4 separate regions of the Mus musculus genome follow, and all the other regions are reported to be linked to region 1. Evidence: microRNA targets listed by miRTarBase, many of them from high-throughput screens and not tested one by one. Region 1 holds a microRNA gene; each other region holds the end of a gene's coding sequence.
The links. Region 1 holds the annotated microRNA mmu-miR-34b-5p (AGGCAGUGUAAUUAGCUGAUUGU, at 4,065-4,087, opposite strand). A microRNA usually pairs through its seed, bases 2 to 8, with sites in the 3' UTR of a target mRNA and lowers its output. Matches are read on the target gene's strand: a 7mer-m8 pairs with bases 2 to 8, a 7mer-A1 pairs with bases 2 to 7 and ends in A, and an 8mer does both.

Region 2: miRTarBase lists Ppp2r2c as a target of mmu-miR-34b-5p. Seed matches in the 3' UTR shown: 7mer-m8 at 1,326-1,332 and 7mer-A1 at 2,082-2,088.
Region 3: the mRNA of Sgpp1 is a reported target of mmu-miR-34b-5p. Seed matches in the 3' UTR shown: 8mer at 1,832-1,839.
Region 4: miRTarBase lists Rheb as a target of mmu-miR-34b-5p. Seed matches in the 3' UTR shown: 7mer-m8 at 5,509-5,515.

The regions. Positions count from the first base shown.
Region 1 is chr9:51,099,546-51,106,664 of GRCm38, forward strand. It overlaps Mir34b (microRNA 34b), which reads right to left and starts at 4,100; the gene lies at 4,017-4,100. Hoatz (HOATZ cilia and flagella associated protein) reads right to left here and starts at 2,533. Exons shown (of 6, transcript NM_177702.4): 1 at 2,200-2,533; 2 at 1,509-1,547; 3 at 455-525. The coding sequence starts at 2,425. It overlaps Mir34c (microRNA 34c), which reads right to left and starts at 3,565; the gene lies at 3,489-3,565. It also overlaps a transcript of Btg4 not described here.
Region 2 is chr5:36,951,935-36,959,053 of GRCm38, forward strand. It overlaps Ppp2r2c (protein phosphatase 2, regulatory subunit B, gamma), which reads left to right. Exons shown (of 9, transcript NM_172994.3): 9 at 417-3,144. The coding sequence ends at 708. Among named protein-coding and RNA genes, the nearest start is that of Gm52813, 15 kb to the left of the region's middle.
Region 3 is chr12:75,710,301-75,717,419 of GRCm38, reverse strand. It overlaps Sgpp1 (sphingosine-1-phosphate phosphatase 1), which reads left to right. Exons shown (of 3, transcript NM_030750.3): 3 at 756-3,172. The coding sequence ends at 1,307. Gm40890 (a long non-coding RNA gene) reads right to left here. Exons shown (of 3, transcript XR_872828.2): 2 at 7,005-7,119; 3 at 5,380-5,820. Among named protein-coding and RNA genes, the nearest start is that of Gm40890, 12 kb to the right of the region's middle.
Region 4 is chr5:24,797,511-24,804,629 of GRCm38, forward strand. It overlaps Rheb (Ras homolog enriched in brain), which reads right to left. Exons shown (of 8, transcript NM_053075.3): 8 at 5,313-6,246. The coding sequence ends at 6,154. Among named protein-coding and RNA genes, the nearest start is that of Rheb, 41 kb to the right of the region's middle.

The DNA of each region.
Region 1 (7,119 bases):
GCCTCTACTTTTCTACTGGCTGGGAATAAAATCTGTGCTACTAGCCTGACTTTTAAAAGATGTGTGTGTGTGTGTGTGTGTGTGTGTGTGTGTGTGTGTGTGTGTGTGTCCCTCATGCCCACAGAGGCTAGAAAAAAGTATTAGAACCTCTAAAATTAGAGTTACAGGCAGTAATGAGCCATTTTTTATGGGCACTGGGAACCAAACTTGAATCCTCCGAGAACAAGCACTCTTAAAAATTGAACTACCTGTCCAGCTCCAAGAATTTCTAACTGCTTAATTAAAATTCTAACAAAAAAAGCTTTTCAAAGCTTAGGTAGCAGAAGTAGCACATTTTATTTACATGCATTTAAAAATAAAATGTCCTCAACAACAACAAACAGTATTTATCAATGATGGAGAAAGGTAATGAGAACCAGAGAGGTGAACCAGGAGAGATGAAGCGCTGGCTCACCTTTTGGAGATACTTTGCTCTCTCTTCAGATTCCTGAATCCTTTGGGCTTTAGCAAAGATAATTGCATCCTCTAGAGAAAATAAAACCAAATTTAATCTGACACAACTTTGTCATAATTCTTACAGTTTTGACATGAAATTGGATATGGGAGAATAGAGTAGGAAGGGACACAAATACATACTGTCTTGACATTATAATGATTGGTAAATAACTGAAGACTGCATTAATTATTCATGATGTCAGGAACCCTCCCATACCTTTACATGATGAGTAAATCATAAGTGGAGATAAGAAACAGCCTCTAAAGAGAAAGTGCCTGTGGGACCAGGAATGCTGGGGAGAAAGTGCCTGTGGGGTCAGGGATGCTGGAGAGAAAGTGCCTGTGGGACCTGGGATGCTGGAGAAAAAGTGCCTGTGGGTTCAGGGATGCTGGAGAGAAAGTGCCTGTGGGGTCAGGGATGCTGGGGAGAAAGTGCCTGTGGGACCAGGGATGCTGGAGAGAAAGTGCCTGTGGGATCAGGGATGCTGGAGAGAAAGTGCCTGTGGGACCAGGGATGCTGGAGAAAAAGTGCCTGTGGGATCAGGGATGCTGGGGAGAAAGTGCCTGTGGGGTCAGGGATGCTGGAGAGAAAGTGCCTGTGGGGTCAGGGATGCTGGGGAGAAAGTGTCTGTGGGACCAGGGATGCTGGGGAGAAAGTCCCTGAGGGGTCAGGGATGCTGGAGAGAAAGTGCCTGTGGGACCAGGGATGCTGGGGAGAAAGTGCCTGTGGGACCAGGGATGCTGGAGAGAAAGTGCCTGTGGGGTCAGGGATGCTGGGGAGAAAGTGCCTGTGGGACCAGGGATGCTGGAGAGAAAGTGCCTGTGGGGTCAGGGATGCTGGGGAGAAAGTGCCTGTAGAGTCAGAAAGTTATCTTCTGGGTGAGTATGTGAGCCCTGAAGCAAGGTGTGGGATATGCAGCTTAGTTATATCACAGTGTAAATGTATACTTCTAGGAATTCTAAGATAATCTGGGGAGTCTACATATAAAAAGGCATTAAAACTTGATACTTACTGTCCTGATCAAAGGGAAAGGGCTGGACAGAACTTTTCTCTAAGAAATACAAATGAAGAGAAAGTTATTGGAAAAGCTGACATGAACAGTATTTTAATTTCATATACCTATTAATATTGAATAAGAACACTTTATACATCCTTGGCCCGAAGGCTTGTCAGTCAGGAAACAGGGTTCCTAAATTAGACTCTGCCAACAACTTTTTCTTGGGCTTTTAAATTTGAATTCAATTTTATGTAAATGCTTTCCTAATCTAAGCACCATTTCCTTAGATTAACCCATCCTCTTTGCCAAATAAAAGCCATCATTTAAGGGACTCTTAGAATTTTTTTTTTTTTTTAAGATTTTCATTTTATTTATGTGAGTACACTGTAGCTGTCTTCAGACACACCAGAAGAGGGCATCAGGTCCCATTACAGACGGTTGTGAGCCACCATGTGGTTGCTGGGAATTGAACTCAGGACCTCTGGAAAGCAGTCAGTGCTCTTAACTGCTGAGCCATTTCTCCAGCTCTAGAATGAATTTATATGTAACAATGAGATCCTTTACAGTGGAGAATTGCAGCAGTTTTAGAATTGTTTGTGTATTTGCATATACCTATTACTGCCTGTTTCTGCTTGTTTGTACTTCTCAATTGACTGACAATTAGACCAGGCAGTTTCCCCTTCCAGGAGGTAGCCTTGCTACTCACCTCTCAGAACGACTTTAGAGTTCCGCGCCACCGGTAGCCTCTGACTGCTGCCTCGGGTCAGCACGAGCTGAGATTCGGTAGTGGGGTACATGGACGCCCCGAGCCAAAACTGCTTAGCCAAATTGGCATCCTGCTCAGAGCAGCCGGTGAACACCAGTAATCCAGGGGAGCAGATTTCCTGGGATTCCTTCCTGCCGCTAGGACAGCCTCTGGGCCCCGTTTCCATGGTGACTCAGGACGCTTTCCTTAGCTCTGGCGTCCCGCCCCTACCGGAGAACCGTCCTGTTGGTAACTGCCACCACCGGAATGCCTGTGTTTCTTCTTCCGTAGATCTGGGGTTCCTCGAGGGCTTGTGGCCCATCAGCAGCTGGCTTCTGTCGAGGTCACAATTTTCGGGGCCAGTCAAGCCTTAAGAGTAAAAGCCTCAACTTTGTGATGTGTACAGTCCTGGACTGTCTCTTAGATCCTCAGCCAGCGTCTCCTCCTCCCCCAGATAGCCCAATAATGTGAGCTTTAAAGAGCGCCTTCCTCTTTTGGACAAGATTGCCAAGGCTTCGCACTCTTACCTCTGGGGAAATTCTCAGGTTTGCATTGATACATCTGCATAAAGCGCTAATCTAGAACTGGGCCGAGAAGTACCGGTGGATACAGCTTGTGTGATTTAAAACCTCTCAAATCTTTTATTACAGATATTAGGAAACCAGCTGGTTTTAAATCGTGTTCACTAATTATTCCCACGAAAAGTTGCCTAGAACGCAACTGTTAATACCTTAAAAAATATACCTGGTTAAGTGGGCTGAGTTCCCTTGCCCCATGGAAAATTATGAAAACATTTAACGTTCCCTTCCAGGTCACAATCATGTGTGAGACGTTTCCCTGGAGATTTTGTCTGTATAGCAACTAACCATTTAATGACTTTACGGGGTTGACAGGAGCTGAAATGGAGATCCTAAAGCCAGTTTTTGGAAAGGAAATGAACACGATTGCTGAGATTTTCGTGGCGCTTTATTTTTTAGAGTGTTATTAATATGTCAGGCAAAGTCCAAAGATTTATAATCACAAGTCAATATAATGACCAAATCAGCTAAGGGATAATTTCTATTTTTCCAATATATCTAAAAATCACAAAAAATGTACCCCACACAAATTGATACATTGTATACTTAGCAGCTAAGGGCTAGCGGTTCCCCCCCCCCCCCCAAACCACTAATAGTATGGTAAGAATATTTCCCTATGGCTCTGTCCTCACCAAAATGACGATTCACAGGAGGCTCAGTCGGAGGAATTTCAGTCTTTTTACCTGGCTGTGTGGTTAGTGATTGGTACTATTAGCAATCAGCTAACTACACTGCCTAGTAACTAGACTCAGAAAAAAGCATGCAGTCTTTAGCTGGTGCTCTCAGACTTTGGTGTGACCAGAGCAAATCGTCAGCCAAGCTGTGGTTGACTCTAGTCGCTGCCTTGGTGATAGCTTTCTCAGAAGTGGAAATCAGGCAGTGAATCACAGCAGCAGCAGGAACTGTTCTGGGGGGGGGGGGGGGGGGGCTCTTCCTGGCCTTTTTTTTTTTTTTTTTTTTTATGTTAAGGCCGGTGTATACCGATTCTCTTTACACATCACTGAACCGTTTTTGCTCTGGCTCTTACACACAGGTAGCCGAACGGTCCCTAAAGGAGGCCGCCGGTCTCCGAGGGTTACTTGCACTTAGACCTCGTGCTCCCGGCCCTTTGCTGACGCATCCTGGCTCCGGCCTCGGCTTTCTGCGGAGTCAGTGGGGCTGCAGCGCTGGCTTCTCCTCCCGCGGGCGGCGGGTGATGCTGTGCCTTGTTTTGATGGCAGTGGAGTTAGTGATTGTCAGCACCGCACTACAATCAGCTAATTACACTGCCTACAAACCGAGCACCGGGCGCCCGCCACTGCAGCTCCCGAGGGTCGGGCCCCTCGCCCCCTTTCGCCACGGTCGACAGGCGAGGGCGGCGGAGCGAGAGGTGCCTCAGGCTCCCGAGGCCCCTCCACACCCAGCAGGGCCGCGCGCGACCCCAGGTGAACCCCCAGGCGCTGAGGCCCCCTGTCCCCGCCGTCCCCCCCGAGACCCCCGACTCAGCCCGGACCCCAGGGCATCCGGCCCGAGTCCTTCTTCCCGCAAGCCGGGTCTGACCCGCCTCCAACAACTTCTTCACGGCTTCCAGACCCAAGTCTAGAGCCGGTTCTGTCCAGCCCGCGCGCCCCGCAGCTCCTACTGGCCGAGTGACCGTGGCTCAGCGACCAACCGCCCTTGGAACCCCGAGGCCGAGGGGGCGGGGCGAGTGGGGGAGGGGTGGCAGAAGCTACCAGAAGGGGCAATGGGAGGGCTCCTGCAGAGCCTCCTGGGAAGGGGCCGGGGAGATGGAGAGACAGATTCTTGAGAAGTTTATCTTCACAGTGTAGTTACTGCTACATCGAAGAAAGAAGCGCAGAGACCTACATCCATCTCTCCTTCCCAATATATTGCCCAAGAAGCCCCAGGCCTCCTCACTGTTCATATGCCCATTCTCAGAAACCGCTTCCCAGGCGTCTCATCTGGAGCCTTCCTGCCTGAGCAGGCCTGGGCACTCATACCTGCAGGATTGCCCTTGCCTGTACCCAAGTTCTTTCTTAGGACTACCTCTTACAGGGCCATACAGTGAAGTGTGGGCCACTCTTCTGGTCAAACATTGAACCAACACCCTTGTTGGTAGGTCAAAGTTGTGGCCCTTATAAGATCAAAGACACAGTTTTGATGATCTCCCCGTGAGCCTTGAGGATATCTAGTCTCACTTTGGGCTCCTGTTTTATTTAAATGTTACAAATCCAGCACCTAACAGGCGTTTGTCTTACTACCCATCAGACAGTCTAGGTGGTAACAAAATGTGAACACATTATTTATTACTCCAGACAGTATAAAGTTGCTAAACTGATAGATTTTCCTAATAGAAAAAAACAGGTATGGGTGGGGGTGGGAGGTGTGCCAACAAGAGCTGACAGACACCATCATGGAGGAGGTGAGAGTTCAGGTAGATCCTTGAAGCAAGGGTAGATTTGGACATTAAGGATGAGGTCTGTAGAAGCCCGAGAAGCCATATCTTCTGTCAGTTACATTCCCCTTGTTTTTGCTATTTTATATCTGATAACGGGGTGCGTGTTTGTGTATATTGGGAATAGGAGGCGCTGAGGGGACAGCATTTCTGCGCCATCTTCACTAATATTTCTTTCCTTTAGTCTTTCCTCTCCTTTCCTTTAATTAATTGAGCCCAGAGAGGATATACAGTATTCTCTGATTGCAAACTTTGTGGAATTCAGTAGGAAGTAGCCGTCCCAGACTGTGGTCTTCCTGTATGCTGTATGACACCCATTTGTATTGATCCAACAGTCTTGCAGTCTACAAAGGGACATTTCTTAGCTATACACTGATACCTGTAAGCCCAGCAAATGGTCTTGTAGATGCCACTAATTACATGAATATATGCCAATCATCAGGAACATTCAACACAAATTCCAAGTGGAAACCATTAAAACCCAAGAACTTCCCAAGAATAAACTTGTGTATATTTTAACATTATCTTTGAAAGTAAAAGACAATGTTTTTTTCCTTCAGAGTCATTGTTTTATGAAGGCTTAAGTGAAAGGAAAATGAAGTAGAAAATGCCAGATTATTATAAAATTAACTTATGAAAGACATTTGTAAATAACTATCTTGTATTCAGTCTTCTTGTATTTGAGAAAAGTATAATGTATCCTACAAAAGGTCATTTAAACGTTCAAATATAAATAAAAGTAGTAGAAATAGCCTCCATCCCATAAACACTATGAAGAGTTACAAGTTTTAGGAGGACATCATTAAAAAATCATTTATTTTGCATTTTGCTCAATTTCACTCCATGTGTCATGCTTCCACCCAGCTTAGGGATTTTCTCTATTAGTAGCATCTTAAATATCTTACCTGAGTTTTATTGCTTCCATCCAAAGCTATCATTGCATAAACTGTCTTGAAATTTAGACTAAATTTTTTTCTTCAATGATAAAAAGTAAAATGATGAAAAAAAAATGCGTGTGCCCTAGTTCTGTTAGAAAGCAACAATAGAAAAGAATGTCTGTTCTTAGGGTTGCTGTTGATCCTGCCCACAGTTACTAGAGAAACTCCAAGGATCTTATTGCATCTGCTGGTCATGCCTAGGCATGTCTAGAGACCAGGGAGACTCATGTTTTAATCTAAGTAAGAATGCCTGTGGTGTGGTTAAAATGCCCAAGCAGACCATTACATTTGGTTAGATAGATCCAGGAAGGCACCTTGAGGAGGAGCTGTTTACTGCTTTAATTTCTGGGTTTTTGTTGATCTGGGAGATGGGGTAGGACCTTTGAGGAGATGGGTTGATAGTATTGACCGGAAGGAAACCATGAAAAGTATCAAAAACAAGAACTTCCTGCGTGAATCTGACAAATTTATCTTGACTTAATTTATGACTCCTGTAAAAGGGCCATCGAGAGATGACTTCCTCCTGTCAGTACACACAGCACATCGTCTGTACACGTCCTCTTTGTTTTTAGATAGGGACTCAATTAGCTCAGGCTGGCCTTGAGCTCTTGTTCTTCTTGATACAACCTCCCAGTTGCAGGCTATTTCTGCAGCATTTGAAGGTTCTTGTTAGGGAGGAAAGAATGAAGGACACTAATTAGAAAGCAATGATCTTTAGCCACTTCTTTTAAAACATTTCAAAAATGCATACTTTCCTAGGAAATAAAACCATGCATTTTTTTATGCAGACTATCAAATGTCAGATGACCATATTAATATTCACGATAGTATGCTTAGGAACTAGTTTATAAGTTGAAGCAAGGCTGAGTTGAAGTCAATTTAGCCCTTGAATAATTACAAATCAATGAATCTGTTTAATCATAGTGGGTTG
Region 2 (7,119 bases), not on the chromosome of region 1:
ACACACACACAAGTATACGCACATAAATATACACACAAGTGTTCTATGCTCTACACATTCAAGACTGGTGTAGGCTTGCTTACCTTCTTCTTCACCCACTAAAACGGTGTGAATATCCCCTCCTCTGTGGCAGTCAGCCTCTTTCTCCTCCTCTCCCCATAGCTTTTTCAGCCTTCCTTAGAACAACCCCAGATACCTCCTTTAGGCCCAGGCCTGCTTCCTGAAGGTATCATGGTAATAGCCTGCTCCATGCCTTACTAGACAAAGCCCCTGGTTAGGAGAGGAGCAGAGAGTATGGGGCAGAAGTCTGTCTCCAGGGTCCCCTTGCCTGCTGTGGCATTTGCCTCACCCCATAGCTCTGGGGTGTCCTTGTCCCCTCTCTCCTCCTACACTGACTCCTCTCCTTCTCTCTCCAGTGTCATCATGACAGGGGCCTACAACAACTTCTTCCGCATGTTCGACCGTAACACCAAGAGGGACGTGACACTGGAAGCCTCGCGGGAGAGCAGCAAACCCAGAGCGGTGCTCAAGCCAAGGCGCGTGTGTGTGGGTGGCAAGCGGCGGCGTGACGACATCAGTGTGGACAGCTTGGACTTCACCAAGAAGATCCTGCACACGGCCTGGCACCCAGCTGAGAATATCATTGCCATTGCAGCCACCAACAACCTGTACATCTTCCAGGATAAGGTCAACTCTGACATGCACTAGCTGGCCTCAGTGGCCCTCCCGGCCACCTCTGTAAGAGGACAGGATGAGTGTGGTGGCCATTTGTGGGGACATGAGTCCCAAGGCTGGAGTTGGCTTGGATGGTAATTGCCAGTTTAAACAAAGGAAAGGGGGAAGCCCCAGTTACAGGCGGATAAAGCAGATGTGCCCGGTCCAGGGCTCCTTTGTTTACGGCCCTCCTGTCTCTGGCTGGGCCTTTCATTATTATCAGGACTTTATTCATGTCCAGGGTGGGTCAGTTCCTATCAGGGAAAGTCAAGCTGGTCCATGATGGGGCTCCAGAGAAAGTTCATAGGGCAGTCAGGATCTGCAGATCCTCAAGGGAGCCAGCCAGCCATGTGCGCTGGCTCAGAGCTGCTGCTTCATGTTGGATTTTGGACAGAATTCTCACTGAGTGCTGGTTGTGGCAGCTTGTCACTTGGGTGTTTGGAATGTCTTTCGGTATTCTAGGTGCCAGGCCTGGGCAGGTTCTGAGAAGCAGAGCCAAAGTCGTAGGGTTAATCGTGAGGCAGGGCCGGGTCCCTCGGGTGGGTTTTTCCAGGCTAAGGCAAGTCCTGAGAAGCAGGACTGGGGACCCTGTGTGGCTGTGGCCCTCACCTCACTGCCGTCCGTTTGTGAGCCCACTGCACGCTGGACATGGTGCTCAGCCCATGGTGGCTGTGGCTGGATCCCCGCAGCCCACTTTGTGATGGCTTTGCTGTCACCCTTCCATGCTAGCCAGTCATCTTCCCCATGGCCGACAGCCGGTCCTGTCCCTGACTGTAGAATCCTCATGCCCACGAGACAGGTGTCCGCTCATTTCCATAACTCCCAGCTGAGATCCAGGCTCTGCTGGAGCTGGGGTTAGTAACCGTCCCCTCTGAATACAGGAGGGAACCAAGGCTCTGAGCAGAGAAGTGGGGTGCCTAGGGAGTCATACCCCGAGGGCTGAGCTGGTGTCCCATTTCCAACCCGCCACACACGGGTGACTGGTTTTCAAGCAGCATTCCAAGGGAAGGTTTTAGAAGGGAAACATTTCCACGCCAGGCATTCAGTGCAGGCGAGCTGGTGACAAGATGTCACAAGAGAGAGAAGATGGAGAAGAGTGGCATCCTTGCTTGCCTCTCAAGATGCACGTCACCGACACTGTACCTGCAGCTTTCTCCTCACCCTTCCGGCTGCTCCCCAAGGAGGTTGCATGCAGCCAGGCAGCCCCAGAGGACGTTTTCTCAGACCTCCTCAGGGCCACAGGTGAGTGGCCATTCATTTCATAGTGACCCCTACTCCATCCTCATTCCTGAAATCCCAGAACTGCAGGGCTTGGCGTTTTGACCCTGGAAGCAGAGAGCAGAGGGGCTTTGGTTTTTACAACATGGACTGCCACCCAGGAAACAGATGTGATGGAGTTTTTTTTCTCTCTCTCTCTCTCTCAGTGGATCAAGGTATCCTTGTGTGTGTCAAAGCACAAACCGCATGCACACTCACTTCTGGCCATGTATTTACACAGAAACTGGGTCCATTACATTTTTTGGCTTTTTTTTTCCTAAGTCAACGTGAATGAAGAATGTTTATCACTGTAAAATTCAGGCGCTCTGGACAGTATTATATGTACATATTGACCCTGATTCAAGCTAGCAATTAAAAGATCGGCGACTTTCCCCTCTTGTAAAGAAGTTGAAGAATGTGGCCAGTCGTATTTAATCCCATTGAAGCCAAAATCCTGGTGAGAGGGCCTTACACACTGGCCTGGATCTCTGGCACACCCATCTGCCTTTGCGGTTTGGCGTTAGAGAAGATTCGCCTTGGAGGCTGGAGGCTGCTATGAGGTCATAGGTTTCACACATAATGTCTTCAAAGTCAAATCTTACACGGTCTTCAAAAGGAGGGGTCTTGCACATGGCCCTAGTTTCCAGACTTCTGTTTGAAATGTCGGGTATCAAAGTAGAAAGGAAAAAGAGAGACAGAAAAAGATCTCAGAAGAAAAAAAAATAAGTCTTTGGGACCCGAAGAAATCACCCAGGTTCAGAGCGGACTGCTAATAATAATGTGTGTATTGATCGAGGAAAAAGTGCGGAGGGGGGAGGGGCGGTGTGAAAAATGGCAGAAGGACCAGAGCCTTGCAAGCCACAGACTTTGCCACTTTACTCTGCTTAAGTTCTCTGGTCTTGAGTACGTGGCATTTCCCATAATCATTACGACATTGTTGGGGTTTTGAGTTTGTTTTCTTCTGCTTTGATTCTTCTCTGAGGGTGACGCCCTTGGAGGGTGTTGGGTATCTACGTGCTGGTAACATAGTCAGGCCCAGTCACTTGGGGTTCTGTGGCTCATAGGTGCATTCTTTTTTTTCTTCGGTGTCTCACAAATTATCCAACTGTTGAATAAAATTATAAATATGTTAATACCAGCTTTTTCCAATAAAATAACAAATGTTACATCTAAGATGAGGCTCGCAAGGCTGCTGATTAGTGAATTGACCAGGGTGGGGAGCAGCCTCGGGGAGCCAGTGGGGTGGGCAGGGCAGGGAGCAGCTCCCATCAAGATTGGGCTGTGTCTGGCTGTGTCTTCGACTCCAACCCTAACCCAGATGAAGGAGGAAATAGAGTCAGTGGGGACACCAAGCTTGGCATCTGCCTGGAGGAGGGGGTCCCCAGATGGTACCTGCAGAGCCCACTGCCTGGCACTTGTTTCATGATGGGTGGCCTGTCTCCCTTTGCAGCAGGTGTGTTTAACTCACCACAAACCCAGGTAAGGACACTAAGGCTCACACACAAGCATCCACAGAGTATCCTAGTTTAATGCGCTATCTGGGGGCAGCCTCCACTCTAGTGCCCCCTGGTGGGCTCACCCTGCAGAGGCTGCAAGTTCTTAGAATGGGTGGAAGGCAGCCACTGAATTGTGAGCAAGTCAGGGCTTCCCTCCCCGCTGTATTCCCTGTGGCCCAGACCTCTCCGAGGGCTTTTATTGTAAGGAGGGAGGCAGAGGTGGATAAATGGCCACAGCTGCCATTTATCTACAGCCTCCAGGGCAGCATCAGAATGAAAAGGCCACTTCCTGGCTGTGTGTCTTTTGGCTAACCTCTGACCCACATGTGTAAACCGAGCTTGTCTCCTCAGGACCTCTGAGTGACTAATAAGATAAAAATTTGTTTGTGGGACCTTTCTGCTGCTGAGCAGGCTGTGATACAGGATTGGCTGGCCTGGGCTCCATCGGATGCTTTTCATAGAGTGTAGACTGAGTACTGTCACTACACCCATTTTATATATGGAAACATTGAGGCTCAGAGGTAACTAAGGATCATGTCTGAATTGCTACAACTAGTAGATATTGGGTCAGGATTCAAATCATCACGGCCAAAGTGATGTGGATGCTCAGGTTAGCATCCGATACTGTCACCTCAGCCCACCACGCCTCTCTTCAGCTACAGAGCTGGAGCTCCATTGCTGGGAGTTAGTGGCTGTTCCCATGGTCTTTGAGGTAAAGGGATTGTCTCGGGGGGGGGTCCCACCAGGTCTCCTGAGCCCCCTATAATAGGGGTCTCTCTTGACTGTATTAGGAATGTGACATCAGGAAAACTTTCAGAGAGGCATGGCAGGGAGATGGGACAGCCATGGTTGGCGGTAGACATGGAGGATAAGCCATGGCCACACTAGAAGGCCTCTAGTCTCATTGGCCTGGGGCTTGCCTACTCTGGTAGCTAGCGAGTGAGCCCTAAGGATACTCTTGTCTCCTCTCTGATCCCAAGATGTTAAGCATGTGCCACCATGGCTGGCTTTTTTCTATGGGTTCCAGGAATCTAACTTGGCTGCTCACATTTGCCCAGCAAGCATTATTAAGCTATGCCACTGCTGGGGTCTCCAAAGGACCAACCTTGACCTTTCCCACCAAGGGCCACGATGGGCTTAAGGTCTCCTGACTCTACAGAGCTGAGTATGTGCTCTCCACAAACACTGGGTCCCAGGCCAGCGCACTGGTACCTTCCCTCAGGACATCTAAGGCCATTCTCACCTTCCTTCATAGACAGGATGCTCAGGGAGGCCCCAGGGCTTGCCCGAGTTGCATGGCACAGAGTAGGCAGCAAGAGTGGGGACTAGATCCACCCCGACCACACCCAGACCTTCCTGAAGGGAAAGAGTTTGGCACTCTCCTGAGGGGCTTGGTGTCCAGAGGTGGGAGGAGCGGATCCCAGGGCCAGAACTTGAACAGCAGAGGGGTATCTGGCCAGACCTGCCACAACACTGCACCCTGGGCAACATTGTACCCAGAGCCCCTCAGCTGCCATCTGCCCTTTGAAAACAAACTGGGGTGTTAATCTCTCCATAGTCCTGCGGGCTCTGGGTGATCCCTGCACCTGCCAGCCCTGTCACTCGGTGTTATTTGTAAGGACAGAGACTCCTCTAGGTCTGGGGAGATGGATCTGTCAGTAATGCTAGCTGCATAAGCATGAAGACGTAGAACCCAAGGAAAAAAATTCGATCATGGTGGTACATGCTTGTAAACCTGGCATCAGGGAGGAGACACGATCCCTCGGCCTCACAGGCCAAGCCCCAGGCCAATGAGAAGGCCCCGTCTCAAAAAACAAGGTGACAGCTCTGCAGTATCCAAGATCCTCCATGTGCACAGACACACCCGTGTACACACAAAACACACTGTGAATATGTGAAGTGGAAACTTAAGGGTTCGTTGGAAAGTTGGTTGTGTCGGATGGTGTTTGGCTAAGGCAAACACGTGAAGGAATGATCCATCGACGCAGATACAGTTGAAAGGCTCAGGCAGACTTGTGAAGGAACGTTTCTGCTAAAGCAAGCGTGTGAAAGGACACGAGATGAAGGATTCTTTGCTAACAAGACGCATATGTCAATCTGCCTTACATTGTGGAGTTGAGCTCCATTTGTGGGGATTCCATGGAGAGAAATGCACACACACACACACAAAAGTCTGGTGTGCTGCAGTTTCTTGTCGCTTCAACAGACTCAGGCTGATTGGCAGAGTGATGTCAGCTGAGACAGACGCATGTACTGAGGCACGACGTGTGCTCCAGGCAAGACCTGTGGAGGACTCGTGATGTTTGGAGGGAGTGTAAATAGGACACAAGGGACAGTGAAGGAGGCCGAGCTTGACTTGCTTGCATAGCTAAATGCCCCTTGGTCTCATGTCTTCACTGAGTCTGCATCAGTCTTTCACCTCTGTCCGCTTCAATGAAGCGTTCCTTCACCTGTTTGCCTGAGAAAAACACCATCCAACACAACAAACTTTCCAAAGAACCCTTGAGTTTCCACTCTAAGTGTGGATGACTGTGGGCCACATGAAGTACTAAGAGCTGTGTGCACATCTCAATCACAATGCCATCCTATAGGTGCCAGAGGCTACTCACTGCATTACTGGTGCCAGGGGCAGCCTCCAGAGCCCCTGGCGAGAATGCCCATCCTGTGCAGCTGCCCCAACAGCGTGGGGCCTGCAGGTGTTGAGCTGGTGAACATTTTTAGCTACCATCCAAATGTTTGCCCTGCCTAGAGCTATGTAGTAGTGCCCACTGATGGAGGCCCTAAGAGCCTGGCTACTCTATGATCCTTGTTTCTTCTCAGAGTGAACTCACTGTTAGTCCTCACATTGCAAAAGTGAAGGACTTAAGGCTCAGAGAGGTCTAGGGACCGCCCATGGCTGCACAGTAAAGGCAGAGGCCAGACTGGAACCTGGCTCTCTGACACCTTTGCAGGTACATGTTTAAGAGCTGCTATGGGCATAGGAGAAGTGCTCCTCCTGTCCCTAGAACCTTGTTCTTCATGCTCTGATATGTGCCAGACACAGGATGATGCTCAGACAGCACAAATCAAAGGGAGGGTTCCCATTTCTCTAGGCATCTGCCGGTTTCCCTCATCAGTACACTGCTAAAGATTGGGGCACCCTAGCTGCAACCACTCTGATGAAAACCACTATTGCTAAAACCAGGCCTAAGCTTAATAGAGCACCTAGACAGGGAAGGCCAGTTACATCTGTCCCCAACAGATAAAGCCCAGACCTCTCCTCTGTCCCCACCAAGAGGGTGTAAGACCAGGGTTAGGCTGTGTGAGGACCACACAGGCAACAGCTTCCACATCTCTATACCATGGCTTAGCCTCAGGATGTCTGGAAATTGCCGAGTCCTGGCAGGCAGGAATATTGCTTCTTCAAACTTCATTAAACAAACAGCTAGGAGTGATGGAAACATGTAGAAAACAAAATTTTATTCAGAACAAAGAGCATGTCTTCAGTGTATTGACAGCTATGGGGTCAGAGCATGTAGGCTCCCAGGCTTCGTCTTCCTTCTTCTTTAGATTTTTTTAGGTGCATGGGTGGTTTGTTGGCCTGTATGCTGTACACTGTTGTATGCAGTACCCATGGAGGCCAGAAGAGGGCGGTCAGAGCTCCCAAGAACTG
Region 3 (7,119 bases), not on the chromosome of region 1:
GTGGATGTCTGAGTTTGAGACCTCAGAGATCTGAGACCAGAGACTCTGGTCTACAGAGTGAGTTCCAGGACAGCCAGGGCTACACAGCGAAGCCTTATTTCAAAAAGCCAAACAAACAAACAAACAGAATCCTTTTTATCATTAAAACAAGTTTTGGTACAATATATTTTTTGATTGATCTAGTTATTTTATGTATATGAGTACACTGTAGCTATACAGATGGTTGTGAACCATCAAGTTCTTGCTGGGAATTGAGCTCAGGACCTTTGCTCGCTCCAGCCCAAAGATTTATTTACTTATTATATGTGTGAGTACACTGTAGCTGTCTTCAGACACAGCAGAAGAGGGTGTCAGTCAGATCTCATTACAGATGGTTCTGAGCCACCATGTGGTTGCTGGGAAATGAACTCAGAACTTTCGGACACTGAGCCATCTCTCCAGCTCCCCCCCACACCCCCCCCCCCCGCAATATATATTTTTTAACATTTTGTTTTGTTTTGTTTAGACAGTGTTTTGTGTAACCCTGGAACCTCTAATTTTCCTGCCTCTACTTCCCCACTGGTGGGATTATAAGTGTGCAACAATATGCCTCATTTTTGCAGTGCGGGAATCAAATCCAGGCTTCATGCATGCTAGGCAAACACCCTACCTACCAGGCTTCCGCCCCAGCCCAAGTTCCAGTACATCGGTATGGTTGGTTTGTAAGGCTTAAAGTTAAAAGAGCACGATACTAACTGTACTTTTATCTTTTCTAGGATGTCATTGCTGGATTCTTGTATACCATTTTAATCTTAATTATCTTCTACCCATTGGTGGACCTGATTGACAACTTCAACCAAACTTACAAATATGCGCCGCTCATCATCATCGGGCTTCACTTAATTTTGGGCATCTTCTCTTTCACCCTTGACACCTGGAGCACATCCCGAGGAGACACGGCTGAGATTCTGGGAAGTGGTGCTGGGATTGCATGTGGCTCACACGCTGCTTATACCCTGGGCCTATCCTTAGAACCTTCTCTGCACATGTTACCCTTAGCTATCCCCCCTCTTACTGTAACTCTGTTTGGAAAAGCCATATTACGGATCGTCCTAGGAATGCTGCTTGTACTGTTCGTGAGGGATATCATGAAGAAGATCACCATTCCTCTAGCCTGTAAACTCTCCAGTATTCCGTGTCATGACATTCGCCAAGCAAGGCAGCACATGGAAGTGGAGCTGCCATACCGGTATATTACCTACGGGATGGTTGGGTTCTCCATCACGTTTTTGGTCCCCTATGTATTTTCCTTTATTGGTATCTCTTGATGGAGGAACACTGTTTGTTATAAGAAAGGAGGCTACCAGCTATATCTAAAGCTATTCTCTAGGTAAAACTTGGATCAGAGGCTTCTGCAAGAATTTGACTTAAAGAAGTAAATTCTGCAGCCAGTGCATTCTCTCATTGCACACCAGATGTTGTTTTACGTGGGCTGAGCTCTCTCAGTGCTGAGAAATGGCGCGCCCATTTAGAATGTTCACCAAATGTTTGGGGAGTTCTGTGCTGTTACAAATTGTAGTTATATATACCATATATTAAGGCACACGGTGTGCAAAGGTGTGTCTAGTATATATTATATATACAACTGTTTACCTAACAACAGTGGGGTGTATTGAAAAAAATCAGTAACAATATGCAGTTGTGCCCAGGTTTTTGGAATTAATGCAGGCATGTTGTTATTAACAAATAGGCTTAGTGTTTCTTTCCTCTGGGAGCCATTTCCTAGTTGAGTTGGTAATTAGCAGACAGAAATCTGTGTGCTACCGCACACTTGACTTACTGTCTCTCCCCACACTGCCAGCTCCCTTCATTTACCCATGAACGAGAGGCATTTCTAATGGACCAAGTTTTGGGGGAAGTTTGCTGTTTGAGATTTTTTTTTCCATTCTTAAAGTTCTGTACACTGTGTTGAATGTATTTTTTTTCCCAACTGTTTTGGTCACACCAATTCAGGTACTGAATTTTATTGCTTGCTAACTGTGCCTTTCTTTTCCTGAATTAAGAGACACCATGTATACTGTGATATAAAAGTGACACTCTAATTCTATCATAAGCCACATCATCAGGCAAATATTTTTAAAATATATATATCAAACTAACAGAAGTAAATGGCCCATAACTCTTCAGTCGTTTTTTAGAAAGAAATGTGGAATTGCTAAGTTTTCTCACTAATTTATTGGAAAGCTAAATGGATAAGTATTTCCATTTTTGTAAGTATTTTTCTGTGCATTGCAAGTTATTGGAACAGTATATATATGTAAGTACGTTGTCTTGATTGTGTATAGTACAAATAAATACTTCCAGGGAGTGGAAACATCACTGAAATTTATAGATGAGACAGTGTATACCCTTCCTATGTACACAAGCCATTTTTCTAAATTATTTGAAAAGGATTGGATTTCCTACCGTTATCTTTTAATACCCCACTCTTTAGCAATCTAAGGTAGATTATAAAATCCAAACGTGAAATATCCGTAGCTAAGATTCTATTATTTTTCCCAACTAATTATTTTTACAGTGGTAAATTTGAGTGTAGTGTTAAGCTATTCTTTCCTGTCTGTGCCTTTATATTTTGAAGTGTGATTGCAATTAGGTTAACATTACGTTTATTTGTGGTGAGGTTTTTTGTAAAGAAGAGAATTAATTTTCCATACAAATGAACACCAGGTGGAGGTAATGATTTTAGTGCAATAATCTCTGATTATTTAGAAGGAAAACGTTTCTATTTTGGACAAGGAAAGTATCTGAGCTTCTTATTTTTTATAATTCTCATTGAAAGCTTGGGGGCTTGGTAGTTTTTACCCACAAAGAATCTGATCAACTTTAAGCAAGTAAATTTGGACCCTTTGGCCACCAGGAGAAGAAAGCGAGGTGCTTAGAAAAGAATCGGTACGCAGGGAGCTCAGAAGCTGCGGAGAGCAGGGATTGCTCCACAGATGTGCTCTGTGAGTTGAGCTATAGACAGGGTCCCCCACTTTGGGTCTGTTATGCTATTAATTTTTGTGTGTCACTTAAAAAGAATTAGAAAAGATTCTATTTCTCTGTGTTTGTTTTTGTTTGATGACAGTTCTATGCTAAATGTATTTTAAAATAAAAGCCGAGATCAATACCGAAAAGATCTTTCTTCTTTTTGCCTGTTGTTCACATGTCTGGTTTTTTGGGGTGTGGGTGGGGAGGGGGGTGTTTGAGACAGTTTCTGTGTAGCCCTGGCTGTCCTGGAGCTCAATCTATAATCCAGGCTGGCCACGAACTCACAGAGTTCAGCCTGCCTCTCCCTCTTGAGTGCACCACCACCTTGAGGTACACTGAACAAATTCTTAAATGTATGATTCATTCCATTTTGAGGCAGGGTCTCCTGTATCGCAGGCTGGCCTCGAGCTCCTGCTCCTTTCTCTCCTTTCCAAGCACTGGAACCTCAGGCTACGCCCCAGCTCCTGACTTTGCTCTGCTATGAAGCCTGCTGGGACTCTACAGCTCTCATGTGGAAACAAGCAGAGGGAAAATCCAAAGAGAAATACGAGATGTCCAAAAGTCGTTTGAGAAAGTAAACATTCATCCCATAGTTCATCTTCAGTTGGCCTTCCCCTGCCTCCTCCAGATCTAGAATTCTGCGTCCAGCATCAGCATCACGTGTCCTATGAGTGTGAGCTGCCTTACGCAGAGCTTCGTGGTTCCGTGGCTTACACACCCAACAGCCTGAAGAACCATAGCTATGTCCCTCACCATTTCAGTCTTGCTGCGTTTTGCACAGATGTTTAGGAAGCTGACTCCTGCTTGCAGCCAGGGACACGCGAGAGCAAATCTGATTGTTTCTTAAGGAACCTCTACAGTTTTCTTTAAGAAAAGGATTTTAAGTCTTGTATAGCTTTGACATTTTATTTGTTTACTTTGAGACAAGGTCTCTCAGCCCTGACCAGGCTGGCCTGACCTCACAGAGCTCACTGCCTGTCCCTGCATTCTGAGTGCTAGAATTTAAGGCACGTACCACCATGGCCAGCCTTTGCTCTTTTTTAAAAAACATGTATCGGTGGTTTGTCTGTGCATTTCTGTGTGCCTAGTGCCTATGGAGGCCAGAAGGTATCAGGGTCCTACTGGCGTTATAGGTGCGTGGGAGCTGCTATGGAGGTTCTGGGAATTGAACTTGAGTCTTCTGCTAAAACAGCAAGTGCTCTTAGCTACTGAGTCATCTTTCTAGACAAAATTTATTAATTACTTCTAAAATTTAGTATATTTCTTAGATAATTGTGATTATCTTGCCTGTAATCCCAGCCACCAGGAAGTGGAGGCGAGAGAAAGAGGAACTTGAGTTCTTTTTTGTTTTGTTTTTTTGAGATAGGGTTTCTCTCTTTAGCCCTGGCTGTCCTGGAACTCACTCTGTAAACCAGGCTGGCCTCGAACTCAGAAATCCACCTGCCTCTGCCTCCCGAGTGCTGGGATTAAAGGCGTGCACCACCACGCCCAGCTTTTTTTGGAATTTGAGTTCTCGAATACATAACAAGTGGGAAGCCAGCCTTGGGCTCCATAAAACCCATCTCAGAAAAACAAAAGATAGGGCTGGGTACAAGGTCAGTGGCAGACCTTTTGCTTGGATGCATAAGGCCCTGGGATTCCATCCTAATGCTTAAAAATGAACCAAAAATAAATAATTCATTATCTTCCCTATGATATCACCTCTATGGGGGGAGGGGGGAGGTACTCTTTCATGTATTTCTGCCATCTCTGGGATACAACAGACATTCAATGGCTATATTGTGTTCAATTGATTGATTATGCAGTCCTTAGATACGCTTCAGTAAGTGCATTTGTGTTCAAACATGCAAGTGTGCACGTGTTAGTGGGGAACATTTGTAGCATTCTGCAGCTTCTCAAAGATTTGAAGGAAGTTTAAAATTGGTTTTTAGCATTTTATTCTTTGTTTTGTTGGAGGTTTTTTGTTTGTTTTTGTCTTGTTTTGTTTTTCAAGAAAGGCTTTCTTTGTGTAGTCCTGGCTTTCCTGTATACCAGGCTGGCCTGGAACTCAGAGATTCTCCTGCCTCTGCCTCCTGAGTTCTGGAAATAAAGGTAATTTCCTAAAAATTATTTTCACTTTCTTGAGGTGTTGTGCAGTTATAGAGTAATGAAATATTTTAAGGATATTTGGGATCTTAGAGCAGCTTATAAAACCTTTAGAGTATTAGCAGATAACCATGTGTAATATCCTTGTTTGTTTATCCATAGACACATGGTCCCCTGTAGCCCAGGCTGGCCTGGAACTCACACTATTTAGTTCAGGCTGATCTTGAAGTCTGCCTCTCCAAAGGTCTGGGATTATAAGCAGGGGACGCGCCATCACACTGGCAATTCTAATCACATGAATATTGATTAGAAAGTACTCAGTCAAATTAGCTTAGCTATAATTTGAAGGCAATGAGAACTATTATTTGCTAGACATTCAAAATTTTCTTTTTCTGTTCTGTTCTTTTAATCCATGATAAGAGAAAATACACATGTCAAGTATTATTAACTAAGATAATTTTTTGTATTCATCTTGGGTTTTGGTGGCATACTATAGCTGCTAGGACTGCAGTTATTTGGGAAAGGAGCCCAGCAGAGTGGGGGGAACTCAGACTCCACCATCTTCTAAATGGTCCTAGAGGGTCAGGTAGCAACTCAGCACCACACCCACAGCCCTACCCAGACAGGGTGGGGAATTGCAGTCACAGGGTTAAAGAACTTTGCAACCAGCTCTGAAAGTCCTTGTGCTCTGCAAAGAAGGATTCCTCTGGGATTTGCAGGTGTGCCCTAGGAAGGAAGTTAAAAGTTTATTTTTTAGGATTTTACACTTTTTTGTTTGTTTGTTTGTTTGTTTTTCGAGACAGGGTTTCTCTGTATAGCCCTGACTGTCCTGGAACTCACTCTGTAGACCAGACTGGCCTTGAACTCAGAAATCCACCTGCTTCTGCCTCCCAAGTGCTGGGATTAAAGGCATGAACCACCACTGTCTGGCTAGGATGCTACACTTAAAAGACCACAGGACTTCTTGCAGGCATTGACATAAAAACCAGCCACACATCTGGTTCATTCGGACTTCTGGAGACTCCCTGCCTTCCTGCCTCGAGACGGGGGTCTCTCACCGAACCAGAAGCTCATGGTTTAGTTAGGCTAGCTGGTCCATGAGCTCTCAGCATCCTCTCAATCTCTACCCACAATGCTGGAGTTGCAGGCATGGGCAGCTATACTTAGCTTTTTATGTAGGTGCTGGAAATTCAAATTTAGGTCTTCATGCTTGCCAAGTAGGTACTCTTTCTTTTTTGTTTTTGTTTTCCCCCACTGAGCTGTCTCTTTAGCTCTAAAACAGCCCGTTGCAATAACTACAAAATAGGTGTATGTTTTGAGCTAGAGAAATAGCTTGATTGAAAGAAATTGCTTTCATTGAAAGCACAAGGACTTGCCTAAGTTGGATCCCCAGAATCCATATTAAAGTTGCATATTGTGACACAAATGTGTAAATACATCAGTGAGAAGGCAGGGACAAGCAGATCCCAGTGACTTGAAGGTTGGCTGCCCTGTCCTACTTGACTAGCTCCAAGGCAATGAGAGACCCAGTCTCAGAAAACACGGTGAATGACCCCTCCCTTCCACATGTACACACCCCACATTTGGACACACGTGAACATGAACATCCGTGCACCACCCAGAAACAGACGTATCATCATATACTGGGCCAGTCTTTCTTTGAACATACCTTTTATCTCTTAAATCTGATTTTATGTTTGCTGGCATAAAGCAGTTACAAATTTTTCTAGGTGTTTGACAAAACGACACTGTATCAGTTTAATCACTCTGCTATTAATTGACTTAGTTGAGAAAGGATTTCCAGCCCAGGTTGGCTTTTTACTCCCTATGTAACTGCAGATAACCTTGAACTTCTCCGTTTTGTCTCTGCTATGGTGGGGTTATAGATGGCCCTTTCTACACCATCACACCTTAGCGATGCAGCACTGGGAGTCAAACTGAAGGCCTGTTCCCAGCACCCACATGCTGACTTGTAACCCTCTGTAAACTCCAGTCCGGGGTGTCCAAGGCCCTCCTCTGACTCTT
Region 4 (7,119 bases), not on the chromosome of region 1:
GATGGATTCCTGGAATATTTTTTTTTTTCTAACTTGCTTTTTGAGACAGGACATCATTGTTTGGCCTGAAACTCGAAATCATAGACCATAGTCTTGAGCTCACAGATTTGCTTTGCCTCTGCCTCCCAAGTGCTGGCACGGAAAGGCATGTGCCTCTACTATCTAAAACCTTTACTTTTTTGAGGTTCAGTGCTTCAAGTTTGTTAGCTGAAGGAAGGGGCACAAAATGTGTTTATCTCCTCTATTGGAGGTGATCCAGTGCTTTCTGTGGTATTTGTAGAGGACACATGTGCAGGAGTTCAGAGACATGGAGACATGTGGAGGCAGAGTACACACCACCCTGCCTGACTTGAAGCAGATGGGCAAGAGAAGCCATGTGTCAAGAATAACTCAAAGGAACCCCCTTTGAAATTTAAAGAGAGAGAGAAAAAAATTCTCGTAAAAATGGAGGACTTTTAGTTTCCACAGGTGAACATTTCAGCTCAAGAGACAGCTGAGACCACCTGGGCTCGCTCAGACGGGGCTACGTTTCACAGAAGGGGAAGCAAGGGGAAGCAGACTGCACAGCTGGCAGCAGCTGGCTACAGCCAGCCCAGGCTGCTCTTTCCTTCCTGGCTTCACACCAGGTGCTCCAGGGAGGCAAGAGGCCAGGACGGCTCTGAGCATCACTTGAGCGCTTTTTGCACCACAGTTACAGATGCAGAGAAAGTCGTGCCAGGTAGGCTCCTTCACAGCCAAGGAGATGGGGACATCAGCATGGAAAGGCAGGCTTTCAGCTGTTCTGGCTTCCACACCAGGCTGCTTCTCCTTTTAGGATGAAGCCCAGGATGCTTGCCTCACTGGCATTAAAAGGCTGCTGACTTACCTGGCTCTGCCAGTCCATAGACACTAGGGATAAAAAGACAGATCCCAAGTAGCCCGGAGCCTCGGTGCAGTACAGTTCCCTGCTGGGAACAGGTTGGCCCTGCGCAGGAAGAACTGTGTAAAAGTCTCAATTACTGAGACCACAGTATTTGAAATCTATACAGTCTGTTGTGAGAGAGCCAATGACTTGATGACCAGGGTTTGATTCCCAGAAGCCTCGCAGTGGAGAGGAGTTCTGCCTCTGGAGAGTTGTCCTCTGACTTCCACATACATAAAGTAAATACAAATGTAATAAAAAATTACACAAAACACAGCAGGATCAGTGTGTGTGCTGACACCCTCCCAGCTAGGTAGGAGGCTGAATCGGAGCTGGGCTCCAGGCCAGCCTTTTGATAAACCAATCAAACCTGCGAGAGTGGCCATGAGACTTTCGGCATCTATTCCTCTGATGACGAACCAAGGTTGTATTACCACCGATTCCCTGGCTGTGGGCTGGGACAGATCCTACTGTACTGCAATAGCAGTTGGGCGCCAAGCTCTGAAGGCCCAGCTAGTGACCCGGCACACTGAGCAGCGGCTCTCCTGATGAAGGAATAGCGGCAGACTTGCATTTCTGTCACCGTGGCAGCAGAGTCCAGTGTTGCTGATACCACAGGTCAAACTGGTATGAAGAATTGTTCTCAGCCTTTGTAAGCTTGTGTGGAGAGGCCATCTGTGAGTCCACCCTGCTTGGAAGGATGTGGAACTTGGGGGCTAGCTCACACTGCTGAAGGAAGGCTGAGGCCACCCACCAGGCTGGTGGCTGTCAGGGAAGCAGGAAGCTTCACCAAGTAGTGAGGACTGAGTCCCGATGAGCACTCAGGTGGCCATCAACAGTCACCTATGGACTATGGATGTGTTTGTCAAAGGCCCTGGAAACATCCAAGCTTGCAGATTAAAAAAAAAAAGTTATTTAAGCCGGGCGTGGTGGCCCACGCCTTTAAGCTCAGCACTTGGGAGGCAGAGGCAGGTGGATTTCTGAGTTTGAGGACAGCCTGGTCTACATGAGCGAGTTTCAGGAAAGCCAGGGCTACACAGAGAAGCCCTGTCTCGAAACAAAACAAAACAAAACAAAAAACCCATAAAACCCCCCAAAACCAACCCCCCGCCCCCTCCCCCAAAAGATTAGAAGCAGTGGGCTGGGGAGATGGCTCAGCAGTTAAGAGCATTGACTGCTCTTTCAGAGGTCCTGAGTTCAATTCCCAGCAACCACATGGTGGCTCACAACCATCTGTAATGGGAATCCGATACCCTCTTCTGATATGTCTGAAGACAGCAACAGTGTACTCACATACATGAAATAAATAAATCTTAAAAAAAAAAAAAAAGATGAGAAGCAGCATATTCTGAGTCCTTGCACAATTCCAGATCACCAGGGCTGCATTCTGAGTCTGCATCACACATGGCACTGGGCACCAAGGGTGAAGAAAGCTCCACTTGCCACAGGAGAGGGACTGAAGGCACTGAGGACAAACGGCAGGTGTGCACCTGCCTCAGCAGGTGGAAGGAGGCAGGCCAGAGAGGAGTGTATACATCCCACAGGTGGGCTGCTCTTGGCCATGACTGGCCTCAGTACCCATGGGGAAGGCTGGCAAGAAGGTAACCTTCCTAGAACTCTGAAATGAGCTAGTCTCCAGCTATGTGCACAGCATTAAGGCTAGCCCAATGCTGCCAGCAGGACTCCAGTCTGTGAGCGAACAAGACGACCCTCGAGAAGTGAAAATTCTCCATATGAACAAAAGCTTGCGAGAACACCAGAGGAAATATTATCTCTATTGTCTGTTAATATGTTACAGAGATAATAGATAATGCGTTATAATCTATTATTATATTTTATCTATAGGAAATGTAAAATACCTTATAGGCTGACACAAAGACAAAAACTAATCTACACAAAGAATCAAGGGATCTGTAAAGGTGTGAGACAGAGGTAAAAGGGGGCTGGAGAGATGGCTCAGAAGTTAAACGCATGTATTGCTTTTGCAAAGGACACATGTTTGATTCCCAGCACTCAGACCTGTAACTATCTCCAATGCTTCTGGCCTCCAGGGGTTACCACACACATGCACATACTTAGACACATAGTTAAAATAAAACTGAAAAAACATGTAAAAATATGACCACTGGGGCCCCTTCCCTTCCCTTTTCAGGGCTGGGCCTGAACCTAGGCCTCCTGCAGAGGGAGCTCTGTCCCATTCACATGGTTTTAGTCTTGTTCTTATCTGAGACAGGGTTTCTCTGTGTAGCCCTGGCTGTCCTGGACTCACTCTAATGACAAGGCTGGCCTTGAACTCAGGGCTGTCTATCTCTGCCTCCTGAGAGCTGGGACTAAAGGTGTGTGTTACTACATGAGGCTTTCATCTCTCCTATTTGTAATAAGCAGTTACAAGTCTGGTAAGGCACTCAGCATATCGAAGTGTCATTTCATGGCAGTAGCAGCAGAAACAAGGCAAGTGCATGGAGCACACACAGACACACACCTGCTTGCTTTCATTAGCTGCTGAAATCAACTTGCATTTCTGAGTAGGAGTGTTAAGAATTAAGATGTTGTAAATTCTCAGGGTAAGCAGGAAAAAAAAAATCATAGGAACTTGAAGTAGTTCAATGAAGTGTCTGTTTCACAGCTCCAAGTGTGACATTTGGGGAGGACCCGGGGACCCTGACGATGATCAGCTGACATCTGCTGTTCTGGATGAAGCACCAGGGCTTAGCATACCAAGGTCGCTTCAGGTCCATGTGGAAGCCCCTAGAAGAGGTGACACTGAAGGCTGAGGGAAAGGCAGACACAGGCTCCAGGCCCGAGTCTCCCAGATCTGGATTGGATGTAACAGAGAAGGGGGACACAGGTGGGCTGTGTGGGAGAGCAGGGGACAGAGGTTGGAAGACGTGCTAGACAAGTACCTGCAGATAAGCTGAAATCCTAGAGGCAGGCCACACTTTTGAGTAAAATCAGTAATTATATGTTGGGAGTGCTGGGTATGACGACAGACACCCGCTGTACCCACTGTGGTACACTGACTGAGTTTGAAACCAGCCTGGGTTGCATGGCAAGACACCCCTCCAAAAAAGGAAACAACAACACACTAGAAACACCCATGAGAAAATCCAAGTAGATAAAGCGATAAGGATAAGATGGGGACAGAAAACTCACCAGGCAGCAGAGTTTGTATATTCGTTTTTAAAATTCCTTTCTTCTCCCTCTACCTCCTCCACCTCAGATCTGATCCTCCTGCCTCAAAGGCAGTTAAAGCCATGAACACATAAAGTGAAGGCAGAAGAAAGGCCCAGTGAGAGGCTTAACAAAACAGTCACGCTTAGTTTCACCAAGTCACTGAAGACACCAGGAAACCCTAGGACTCAAACATAGCAGCCAGGTGTGGGCCATGTGGCTGGAAAGACAGCAGAAAACAGAGGCGCCTGGGGGCTATTAACAATGTTTAGGAGAGCCTACGGAGGGAGGTAGCTGATGAAGAAACAGACTGGGGAGAGCAGAGCAGATGGCTGCTTTAGCAAAATTCCATGTAAATCTTACCTTGTAATGTGATTTTAATTATTTTATGTGTATAAGTACACTGTAGCTGTACTGATAGTTGTGAGCCATCATGTGGTTGCTGGGAATCTGAACTCAGGACCTCTGCACACTCCAGTCTAAAGATTTATTTATTATATCTAAGTACACTGTAGCCATATTCAGATGCAGTTACTGATTGCTGTGAGCCACCATGTGGTTGCTGGGATTTGAACTCAGGACCTTTGGAAGAACAGCCAGTGTTCTTAACCGCTGAGCCATCTCTCCAGCCCTTGAAATGTGATTTTACTTGTACTTTGAGATTCAAGTTTGAGCTGTAAAATACTTGTAAACATAACCCTAGTTTTACACTTGTGCCTCCTGTAGCTCAGTGAAGCTAAGATGACTTTCATATGCTAAGATAAACATTATCTTTTATGACACACTATCTCGAGCTGTCCAGTTCAGCTAGAGTGGTGACAGCAAGCTCCAGGAAGCCTGTCTCACCTCCCCAGTAAGGGCTTTAGTAAATACTGGGACTCTGATCTTAGGTCCTCACGTTTGCACACACACTTTCTTTCCCAACTGAGTCACCTCCCCAGTCCTTGCAAGATCGCTCATGCTCATTTGTGACAATATTTACTGCCACGATGGTAGATGAAGAGGAAGGAATTTATCACCTCTCAATTCTTGGGCAGAGGCCACAGGCCTGGTCACCACCCTTTAAAGGATATGCACTTCATTACGTGGGCTGTAGCATTTGCTTGGTATTAGAGATGGTTCTGTGAAACTTTAACTGGGAAGGGGCTTCATTTACAAAGCAAGCTCGTCTTCCCTGCAAAGGCTCAGGAAATACTGTGGGAAAGGGAGCAGAAAGAACAAAGGAGATGGAGGATGGGAGTGCAGTAAAATACTGTTTACTAGGCATGACATGGCCACTGCAGTTAACACGGAAGATAGAGACCAGATGAACTAACATGCCAACAGGAGGCAATAACTGGATGCAGGAGAGAATGTGAAAATGTAAGAGGGAGGTGTTGGGGCCAAGTGAGGTAAAAGAGCCGGGGTTAATAGAACCAGGGAACACTGTACAGCCAGGCAGTGGTGGTGCACGCCTTTAATCCCAGCACTTGGGAGGCAGAGGCAGGCAAATCTCGAGTTCGAGGACAGCCTGGTCTACAGAGTGGGTTCCAGGACAGCCAGTGCTGTTACATAGAGAAACCCTGTCTCGAAAAAGCAAACAAAACAAAAACAAACGATGTGCACGCCCATGCCCCATCCTAACATGGTTCCTGGTTTAAAAACCACACCAAGTAGCTCAAAGGCTTAAGGTTTGCAGCTATTTTATTTACAAGTATACATTTAACACAATGAAATAAACACTGATATATTGAAGCCTAGTTAATAGTAGTGTAACATGTGTATCATTTTGATGATTACATTATTTTAAACAACAAACTACACTGAAAAAATTAATGCCGATAAAATTCTTGGTCATAATATTAAGAAATACAATATATAAATTGAAAATATGATTGTTTAAAATTTGAAAATGGAGGTGAACTCATTTGGACAGAGTCAGACGTTAACATAATCTGAAAGGGGAGGACCCCTGACCCAAATGACATCTTTCAGGTTAACAGAAGAAAACAGAAGCATAGTTTTATCTTCAAGGATGACGGGCAGTTTGCTTCCTCAGGTGGAATATATCCCCAGTGTCCGCAGGCTCTGCAGCAGAATTGTCACATCACCGAGCACGAAGACTTTCCTTGTGAAGCTGCTCCATCAATCTTTTCTGCTTCCAAAATTATCCTTTTAAAAACATCAACAGCAGTCTGAAGAGAAGTTAAGAACAGTGACAGGATTAATTGTCAGAGACTCTGGTTCATGACCAACAAGACTGAGGAGGGCAGGCACCCATCTGTTCTTCAGGGCCATGTCGGGGCTGGGAGGCCCCTAGAAGCCCCATAAGCCACATGGCCTTTGTCAGAGCAACTAGCTTCCACTCTGCTCTGCCCTGACTCAGCCATGATGCTCTCTGGATACTTGGGGTCTGGCTCTACTCCAGATGCAGCCTTCCTTGTACCCTCTGCAGCTCCTAAAAGGTTCCCTTTCTCCTAGGACTTCTGGTACCCCAGGCCTCCAACAGGGAGGTACTCTTTTTGCCCTTCCTGCTCCTACAGAGCCACTCTTCTCTTAGCGCTCCCACATTTCCAGTGTGACTATGTTCTGTTTCTCTGGGCTGCTTCTACAGATGCTGCAAGTCCTCCATCACCCACAGTTAGTCCTCCTGTGTACCATGCCGCCAATTACAAACCCGTCAGGCCAAGTTCCTAGTAAATTCCACTCCTCCCAAGCTTGGTCTCCTCTTCTCTAGTGACTGCCACCCTGGTCTTAGTCCTTTGGTCAAACTCCTCTGGCAACTTTAGAAACATCTTTTTCTGAAGGGTGATTAGAACTGTCAGCCTCTGTCCTTTAAATCTAAGAACTATGATCATTCATAGATTATGAAATTAAAAGCTACTGTTTTTAAGAGACAGGACCTGGCTCGGGTCACCTCATTATCAGAAGTTAACTCACTCTAGTATCTATTTTACATGTCCCACACAGTTATTTATCTGGCAGAGCTGGTCTGACTCCTTTGACAGTCCTCTTGTTCTAAGGCTAACTAAGCACTGTTCTCTAGGTCAGCTTCTAGTCTCACAGTA